Linked DNA regions of Tribolium castaneum. The protein of the gene in region 2 interacts with the protein of the main gene of each other region in a pairwise test. Links are inferred from orthologs where the notes say so. Each region holds a gene or a part of one and is shown on either strand. Other genes may lie near its edges.

The links. The genes of interacting proteins can lie anywhere in the genome.
Region 1: the proteins of Rgl (region 2) and Rap1 interact in a two-hybrid assay, tested with the Drosophila melanogaster proteins (2 studies listed by BioGRID). The link is inferred for Tribolium castaneum from reciprocal best matches to the Drosophila melanogaster genes Rgl and Rap1.

Annotation. Positions count from the first base shown.
Region 1 is NC_087403.1:4,584,259-4,589,753, reverse strand, and holds Rap1 (ras-related protein Rap1), read right to left. Parts: upstream 3,783-5,495; 5' UTR 3,590-3,782; intron 3,476-3,589; exon of another isoform or gene 3,330-3,475; intron 3,105-3,329; exon of another isoform or gene 3,101-3,104; 5' UTR 3,075-3,100; coding exon 2,892-3,074; intron 2,838-2,891; coding exon 2,709-2,837; intron 1,690-2,708; coding exon 1,537-1,689; intron 1,479-1,536; coding exon 1,389-1,478; 3' UTR 238-1,388; downstream 1-237. UniProt on the Drosophila melanogaster protein: Ras proteins bind GDP/GTP and possess intrinsic GTPase activity. Plays a role in photoreceptor cell determination.
Region 2 is NC_087398.1:14,569,883-14,574,853, forward strand, and holds part of Rgl (ral guanine nucleotide dissociation stimulator-like 1), read right to left. Parts: intron 2,507-4,971; coding exon 2,247-2,506; intron 1-2,246.

The DNA of each region.
Region 1 (5,495 bases), on a different chromosome or scaffold from region 2:
GGTTTAAGTCTTATATTAAGTAGCCCTATAAGCAAAAATAAAGTTATGTGAAAAAGGAGGGAAACGGGTTGGTACCTCGGGAATTTGGAAAATTGTGTTCAAAAGAAAATTTGTTTATCAAAAGCATATTGTCATTAATGATATATTTTATGTACAAAAGTAGAATAGTAAAAAGGTATATTATATAATGTTGGTCAGAGTCGTCTTATATTACAAGGAACACTTATAGACAAGACGTTAAATATTGAATTTTAATTATATTTAGCGTCAATATTAGAATACATTAACATACATTTATATTAAAAAACAACAAGATTGATTTATACAATTTCTTTTTAATTGCTTAATGGGAAGATATTTTCAACTGACACATATATCTGTGATTGGAATCTAAAAAAGTATCCGGTGAATTACAAAATATATAATATGTATATATTAACTATATTTTAAAATAATCTTTCAAAGAATTGGCAAGCGGTATTGCATTGCATTAAGTGATTTTGTTACCGCTGTTGTGCAAAAGGCAGGTGCGAAATAAGAGCATTTAACCTCCACGTACACAAAAGCTAATGAGAAAGTTATCACAATTTCCAATTTCAATCAGTTACAAATACATGATAATCAAAATACAAATAGGAGAAGTTTTGACTCTGGAAAAAAGTAAAGTTGAACATGAGATTGGCACTCGAGATGGGTGAGACACCGCCACCTCACAGAGAGAGCCTTAGTCTACCACACTGCTAACGGAGTAAGCACCACAGTCCTATTAATAATATACTGTCGCGCTAATCTACATCCATTTACAAGGACACCTAACACAAATAAAACTAGTACGTAACGAAGTGATCGTAGTCATATAAGTATGTATGTATATGCGGCTAGCAATCGCACAAAAACATAGTGATGTTTAGCGAGAGCTCGAGTGCTTACTCCGGAACTACCACAATGATTAGTCTTCGTCCATGATGCAATGAGAAACCCAACCTGTTAACTAGGCTTATTCTATGTAGGAATATAAAACACCCTAAAACGCTGTGGTCAGAGAAGTATTGTCCCGTCACTAGTCTTGGCTCACTGATTCACACATCGCTATCCCTATTTGACACCACAAAATTGGCAGTAGATTTCAAAATACTCTATCACTAAATAGAATTGCATCTAGAGTCAATAACAACCTTGATTTTGGAGAAATTTAACTGACATATATTTTATAATTAATTACAAATACAAATACTTAAATATTTAATAAAAAGAATATACAGGACTTTAACTACCCTTCACTGGAAGAAGCTCTCCACGTCCGCACTTGCCTTCACGCTTACACACTTTGTCTTACAATTGTCTTTGAAATCATTAAATGTACTTTTTGGTTCCAAATCATTACATTTTTATAGAAGCACACAAATCGGTTTCTTTTTCTGCTTTTGTTTTTTCTCAGGTGATTTTTTGTTGATTTGTCGAACTAGATCATAAAATATCTAAAACAATACACAGCGTTAAAACACTGCACAATCCGACACGCAGCACAATACTCACATCAACAACATTTATTTTAGCTTTGGCAGAGGTTTCCATGAAGGCACAGTTGAACTGGCGCGATAGGTTGTTTCCTTGTTCTTTGCCTACCACTCTTTCCTCTTCCAGATCACACTTATTTCCCACTAACACCATCGGAACATCATCGGTGTCCTGACAAACAAAAACAAAACTCTACAACTGACCCTAACTAGCTCATTCACATAACACTTTTTGTATTTTGCACCGCAATTCAAACTAATTTTGGTGATGCACGATTGCACAACTTTATTAAAAATTTCTTGTTCAAAAAACTAAGTTATTAAAAAAACAAACAAGATATTTTTATAGAATTGTATGCTGGCCAAAAATACCAAACTATGCACTCTTTCTTTTAATGAAGAGAAGAAAAATGTAAACTTGTTGAACAGTGTAATAAATAAGTAAAAAATAATCAAATAAAAACAGAAAAATAGATGTAACAATCAATTTAGCGATAACAACTCCCACTGTTACGAAGAAAAAGTGGCCCATGGTAATAATCGAGAATTAATAATTTTCATTGTATGAAAACAACTAAATACTAAATAAAATGCCAGTTAGTTACGCAGTTTACGAAAAAAATTAGATAATTACTGACGCGAAAAAGTGGTACACAAAATATGGAAGCATTAGCCGGAAGTTGCCTGTATATTTGCATTATCAGTAGATTATATTCTGTTTATCATTAAACGAAGCTTTTATGTAAATTTTGTCATGTAAAATAAAATAGGTGCTGATCAATGACCTCTACACATGTGCAGATGTAAAAAACGTAATAATAAGAGTTATGAGTGGTAAAAGTATTGCTTACATGTGTGAAGTGAACCTGAAGGAGTTAAAAATATAAAACAACGACGTGTTAATAGGTGGAAGGGTGGAAATGAGTAATAAAGCAGGTCAACTTTTCCAATATGTAGATTAGAAACGTAACATAAATAGTGATCAATCTCATGTTGACCTTGGGTTTTATTTTGATAATGAATGTAACATTGATATGGATTGATACATATGCAATAAATTCGGTTTTTGTCGCAAATTTTAGCATCTAAAAGAGCGTGTTTACGTGTGACGTGAACTAAATAGTGACCTTAGAGGCAATTAGTCATCGGTTTTAAAGTGTGTGTAATTAATTGCAATTAAATTGAATGTACCTTGACTCTGAGAATTTGTTCCCGGAGGTCTTGTAGATCATTAAATGTTGATTGTGCTGTAATTGAATAAACCAAAACAAAACCTTGCCCGTTTTTCATATATAAATCCCTCATCGCCGTGAATTGCTCCTAAAACAATTTTTCGAAATGCAGTGTTTATGAGAGGCGGAATGTGGGACATACTGTGCCTGCTGTGTCTAAAATTTCAAGCATGCACTGTTGCCCATCGACTTCGACTTGTTTCCTATAGCTATCTTCAATAGTAGGGTCGTATTTCTCGACGAAGATTCCTTGTACAAATTGCACGGTGAGTGCCGATTTCCCTACACCCCCGGACCCCAAAACGACGATCTTGTATTCACGCATTTTCCCAGTTGCACAAAAACTTCAGTCTATCTGTAACGAAAATCGAGTGAAGATAAATCGCCGAATTCCGGGCGGTTGTGAGTAAGCGAAACTACGAAAGCGGCCTAATCTCGGTGGTTAACCACAACCCAACAGGATGCTAGCGCACATGGAGCAGACACCTAGTGATCAATCCATGCAGATTTGCAAACAATTCTACGAATCGGGGCTAATTAGGCGGGATTTGCGCCCCCTGTCACAACTCACGATACATACATTGGGTGTCCAGCTCCTGGGGCCACCGCGGTGCCGCTTCCGGTCACAGGTTCGTCCACTGCACTCCGTTTTCGGTTTTAACGTCAGAACGGCCCGAAACCACTTCAATTTACACTGTCATGGCTCAACGCTTCAACAAATACTCACTAGGTGAAACTATTTCAGTTTTTTACGGCATTGCCTTTTCAAGGATATGCTCATACTCTCAAGGGTGCTCTGGGAGGAGTTGGGCGTGATTTACATGAAAATGGGAAACTTACCGTGGGCTAAACACCGTTATTTCAGGATCGGGCGATGCCGTTGGTAGTTGATGGTAGGTGTATTAGCTTTAGCTATAGATATAGCGTATAGCTGGAGCTGCTGGCAATGGCAATTACTCTGCTCCCTGCTCCCCCTTCACCCCTTCGTTTCACCAAGCGCATGCCACCATGCCGCACCCGAGACAAGAACGGTCGATAAGACAGGAAAACGCAACGAGAGTTCCACACTCGCAACAGAGAGGCCACCACCAACACCAAAGCCACAGACCAGCACTTCCCAAAAGTTTTGTTACATAATTCCAGAATTCATATCTTTTTTATTATATAATAAATAAACTCAAAAATCGAAAACTTGTTATTATTTTTGAACAAACCCTTTATAAATCAAAATCCTTTGAAGGATGTATCCACCATTACAACAGAAACACCAATTCCCAAAAAAGTTTGGTTACGTAATTAAAAAAAATAATATATCTTTTTAATTATACAATAACTCTGAGATATATTTCCACCATCACAAGAAAAACAGCAATTCCCAAAATACTAATTACATAAATTATCTTATTAAATGAATCTCAAATCAATGAATATTAATAAATATTAATCTACCAGTCGTATTATTAAAAAAAAAAACAAGTTAACCTTGTACCTCCAAAACCAATTGAAGAAAAAATTTAGAGTTTTGAAATTTCGCAAAAAAAAATCTTCATAAATGATCGTATTTTTAAAATATTTACTAATGTACTAATTAGTTTTTTCGTAAAATGCATAGCTTAGGCACAAAACGTGTTCAATTAAAAATTAAAGACGTAACACCTCGAAAAACCGGCTTCTCATAAATTATATTTAGGGTATAAATTCGAGATGTATAGAATAAATGATTAATACCATGCGATCATTTAAATTTATAGAGGAGGAAGTAGGCAGTTTTTTTCTTTGTATTTGATAAACTGGTGCAAATTAAGAGAAAAATATGTATCCTAACTGAATATTACTATTCGAAATTTTATTATTTGTCCCTTCAGCTCGATCAGTATGTTAAAAATCTATTACAGCATACTCTAATGATAAATTCAAATGATTACGTGGTATTTAATAACAATCAGACGTTTACTTACCTTTTTTGTAAAGACAGTCTTTTTTAAATCCCTCAGTTTTATAGACAAAATTTTTAGACTAGTCTGATTTTAAATAAAAAACAAATTATGTAAAAACCTATTTGACAATAATGTCAGTGCCCAAACAAGCTTTACGGTAAAAAATATTGCAAACCTGCTTGGATGTGAGCTCCCGCAAACAGATCACTCGTTCACAAATTTTTTGTGAAAGGAAATGTCAAGAAACAACCCTTATTTATGTGTTTTTAAACGCCAAGCGAAACGACTTTAATAAAGTAATTCTTTGTATAAAATAAATAACTCATTTCTGCTTTAATTAATTTCGTAGTATCGCTTAATATTTCTGGCTTAATCAAGGTAAGAATGAATACAGTTATGTTTAATAAAAATTGCAAGAAGGAAATTCCTCGTATCGTAAAATATGTGTTCATTAAAAGGATTGGAATCTCGATGTCGCCAGTGAATAAAGCAGGTAGTGTAAAGCATAACAAAAAAGCGTCGTGATCAATGATTAAACAAGAATTCCGACTTTTATGAAATACGTAGATTCGGAATTGATCATGTTTTATTGCATTGTTTTTTTAACAGTGAAATAAAATGAAAATGTGTATTGAGAGCGAAATAAAAGTGGAAATTTACATAAAAATGACGGCATCTCCAAATGAATCGAACGTTTATCTATAGCCCCGAGTTTAATTTGATTAAAAGCTCCCAACTCTAGGCGGGCACCTATACCCCTATATGAAAAAATCACTTAGACGGATCCAGCGTGTGGTGTTGTCTCAAAT
Region 2 (4,971 bases):
TAACTTTTAGAGAAAATGAGACGTTGGCATTTCTACAGTTTTGAAACAGGTAATTTGCATAAACTGAACAATTAATTTTTTAATAAAGAAATCAATTATGAAGTGTTTCCAAAAAAATACAAAATATTTACAGTTGTGATTTTCTATTCTATATCGACAGAAATAATTTAAAAGACAAGTTTTTTAAAAAAAGATTAATTCTTTAAAAAGCTAAATGTGAAGCATTAATTAGGTTCTATTTTTTTTACGTAAAAAAAGAGTATTATTGAAAAATGAGTTAAATTGAATAAGATAAGGTAAAAAAATAAATAATTTTTGTAACATTTTACATCGATTAAATAAATGGAAGTTTTTATTACAAAATCTTGTCATTGCCGACAATTAGTTAACAAAATATATAGAAAATTCTTCACACAAGACAGACTGAACGAAACAATCCACTTTAAAGTTACATTGTTGAATAAACTAAACTATTTTCTTAATACGAATTTCCTAATTTCTTTTTATAATATTTTCATACCATTGTTTATTGATTTTCTATCTGCGCTACATGAAAAATTATACAGCCTGTTTATAAAAAAGTGTAGAATTGAATTTATCGCATTTAATTATTTTATTTCTATGAAATTCTGAAAAATACCAATTTTTATCTACTTAGGCCACAAATAAAAACAAATTTTTCATATACTAACATTGTTTATTTTTTCTTGAAAGAAGCGGCAAACTTTTAATACCTACAACAATCCTACACTCTGTTATAAACAGTCCGTACTATCTTGCAAATGGTTCTTAAGCCCCCAATCCCCAATAATTAAAAGTTGTTTAATTTTTTTCACTAAAAAAAGCTTTAAAAGCTCATTAAAATTTGCTAGATATTGGTTTTGTTGTGCTTGCGATTTTCTGGAACGTAGTTTCACAAGAAAAATCTGCCAATTTTGCAATCTCCGGCACCAACAACACAGCAACTATAGGAAAATCATAAATTGGAACAAAACAACCCAAAACAACTCATATCAAATCTTTTCTATTTCTATACAAAAATTAGGCAATTATTTCCTTAAAGAGTTAAATTCTAGTTTAAAAATAAATTTAGTTAAACTAAAGTACTGTACAGTACAATTGGCGAGAAATACAAAATTGAAACTTGTTTTTGAAATTTATTGTCTCAGTAAAAAAATTACTTCAATAAGGCTACCTAACATACGATCTAATTTGCAATATCTAACATCTATTCAACACAGTAAGGCCGATTATTAAAAATCTAGATGAAAAAGCATCAATTTTACTGTAATTTAAACCTTTTTTTTAATAAGAACCATTCTTAAAAAACAAATACTAAAATCAGAACAAACTTTCAGCATCGATTGTAATAATAATTTTTTTTATTAGAAAATCTGGCGATTTAAAGCATTCCTCCAACAAAACAATCCATTTAAAAAAAGCAGATTGAATGAAACAAGCCAAATCATCTCATTTCAAAGCATCTTGTTCGATTAATTGAACTTTTTTAATGAGAAATTTAATTTTGATAAAAATATAATTTTATCGTCTAGACAAGTATGGTGTTTTTTTACGTTTTTTTTTTTCATTATAAAATTTTTTGAGTTTTGAGGCGTAGAATATTCAGAACCCACTTTTACAACTTTCTGCATCAATTGAAGACGAATTTTTATCAGAACAATTGGCGATTTATGGCATTCATCCAACAAAACATTAACAACTAAAAAACAGCAGATTGAATAAAATAAGACAAAGTATTCATTTCAAAAAATATTGTTGAATTAATTAAACTTTTTTTTCAAAATTTGCAAATTTACGAAAATTAAGAATCTTGTAAATAAGACAAATTTTTATTTAACAAATCAAAAGATAATCGACAGAAAAAAGACAGCAATAATTATTGTTAAAAAAGGTAGATTTATGTAACATGTAACATAAATTAAACCTTTTTTAAGAGATTAATTTTTGTTTAAAACCTAATATTATCCTATTCAGTGATTTATAACGATTTATAATAAAATTCTCTTAGAATTTATAATAAAAAACCTTCTTTGCTACTTCTGTTTCTAACTCAACAAAATAAAAACAATTCAAATATAACAGACCTTTTGAACCAATTAATCCAAATCTCTAGTAGTTAAGAACCACTTTTATCTGTTTTATTTTATTATTAATAACAATTAGTAGCTTGAATTTCGTGAAAATATTAAAAACTGCGAGAACAAAAAGAAGAAAAAATTGCTTACTTCCGGTGCTGCTCATGCTGATCTATTTTCCCGTTGGGTGGCGCATCTAAAAGCTCCTCGTAGCGCTGAAGCAACAGTCGGAGAACTTCACGTGGCGTAGAAAAGCTCCGATAGGTGGCCAAAAACACATTAATATATGTGGTTTCAAGCTCACCATCGTCCGTTGAAAGAGCTTCGACGAGCTTTTTCAAAGTGCCAGCTTTGACGAAACGGACACGGACCGTCTCCCATTCCAAATGGGAGATTTCGTCATCTGAATCCTGAAATGTGAATCCAATCAGTGCCAAGAGAAAATGGAAACGGACGTGAACTTTGGAGAGAATTCATTACAATTCGAGCGAGTGTGACATTTAGTCGAATTGATCCAATAATTCTGCGAAAATGTCAAATGGAATTTTATTTTTTGCATCAGATGAAGCGCACGAATTCACTTACACGTCTCAACTGGGATTTAATTACACGATCGTCACGATTTATTAATTAATTAAAACACTCGCACCTCTCGCATAACTCTCATTCATGGAATATTAACGCGGGAAGTGCTCTCTATTGATTTATTCGCTGTTTTGCACCACACGGGATGTTTCGGCACGTCGGCATTTTGCATATTTAAAATTCCATTAAAAAGGGTAATTCTATGCACAAACGATCACTTTTAATTCTCAGTGACAATGCTTTAAAAAAAACTTTTGACGCAATAATTACCACAATTATTATCTAAGCCCCTGCATCACCTAAAATTACTCTCTAGAAAACAGAGTATTTCAGTAATGAGTTACCTATACAGATGTTTATTTTTAATGAAACACGGCATTATTTCTTGCACTTTTGGAACTAGCTTCATTAATACTTCGCCCTAGACGTTTAATTGTCAATTCCGAAATATATTTTTAAAGAAAACAAAGTCCTTTTAAAAATATGTATTACACAAAAACTAGAATATGTGCAGTTTTCAGCATTTTAAGAAAAACCTTCAAATTTAAAGCTGTACTAATAATTGTAGGTATAGCTCATTTCAATTAAAAATAAAATAAAAAATTAAAAAGATTGGTAAAAGTGAGAGCTTGCAAAAATTAAAATGGACAACCTATTTTTTGTTATAGCCTCTCAGAGATTATAAAATTGTCTTTAAACAAACAAAACGTTTCACATGTCTAAAGTTAATAAATAAAACATAAATTTGAGTAAATGTAGTCATAAAATTGAAGAAGTCCGGACAATTTTAGAATTATATGTACATAGGTATTTATTTCAAGTTGACGTTTAAGGTTACACTTGCCCCTTATCATGACTTAAAAGATTGTTAAAATTATTAATTATACAAAACAGTTGACAAAACGAGATTTTATCCAATAATCCTAATAATTAATGTGAGAGGATTTGCTATAGAAAAATGTTTGTTCTTTAATTCCGCATCGAATGATAGATATAATTAATAGGGGTTGCCATTTAAAATAAGAAAAATAAAGAACTCTAAAGTTTGACAATAAATTGTGTACACCCTGTAGTAATCTAAATCACTTTGTATTTTTTTATTAATTTTTAAAACTAAAAGAGCTAATGCTTGTATTTTTTATTAATTTTTAAAACTAAATGAACGGAACCGATTTTATTGGATTCGATTTAAGTTTTTTTAGGAATATGAAAATACAGCTAAATGAGCATCCTTATAGGCTCAAAAAAATAATAGCATGCCACTTAAAAAATATTATTACGACGTCACATTTTTTTGAAAGCAGTCTAGTATAATCAAAAATATTTTGGTGAAATGCGTTCTAGAGTATAAATAACGTCTACAAAGTAATAAAAGTCCAACTTTAGTAAAAAAGTCTTCTCTAATATAGAGAAATACTCTCCATATTATACCGGGTTCGTCAAGTTTTACACTCAGGCACTTTTCACCTCATTGTAATTTATCTAAAATTCCAAAAAAAATCGTATGTGATTTTATTGTATAGAAGAACGATTTGACCGATTTTTAAAATGATTACTTGTATGGTGTGTTTTTTCACTTTCGCTTAGTTAACTATAGTCTAATGTTAACGATCTTTGGTCCATAGGTGTATTTTAAGGTAGTGTATCGAAGTGCCTAATTAAATTTTTGAGAAAATGTGTCGTTGATTTTTAATTTCTGTTTTAAAATTGGGGCAGCTTTTTTCCCATGAATTTTGGTAAAATTGTAAATCACTTCCACAAAAGGTCTCCATCAGGGTGGTGGTTTTCAAAAATTTATTACATTTGTTGTAAAATTGGCACGCGATCATTGTTGGGTTTGAAGGTTGAGGCAGCTGGTAAGAATTTTTCAGGCCCGGATTACCATTTATTTTATCTGTTTACTGTAAATGGAATGTTAATCTTTAAATCTTACGGCAAGAGTTCATGCGAATTGTAAACGAAGAATTCGTTTGTGCTTAGACCAAAATAGTCATCAATTTGAACTTCTAATGTAATTTTTTAATAAAAACATTTTTAACACATTAGTGTGCTTATTACGGTCCTGGCTTTAAAACCGCCCGATGGGACCGTGCCGCTAGTTTTCCGATGAATAATATCAAAATGGCTTTTAATCCAATTCTAACGATTTTTTTCAAGTCAAATTTTTGCAGAATAATTTTATTTCGTATTTCCGATCCATTGATGTAAAAAACAGCTGATATGATTTTTTGGTCAAATGTTTTTTTTCTTTTTTATTGGACAAATGAATCAATAGAAAAAAAATTTTTTT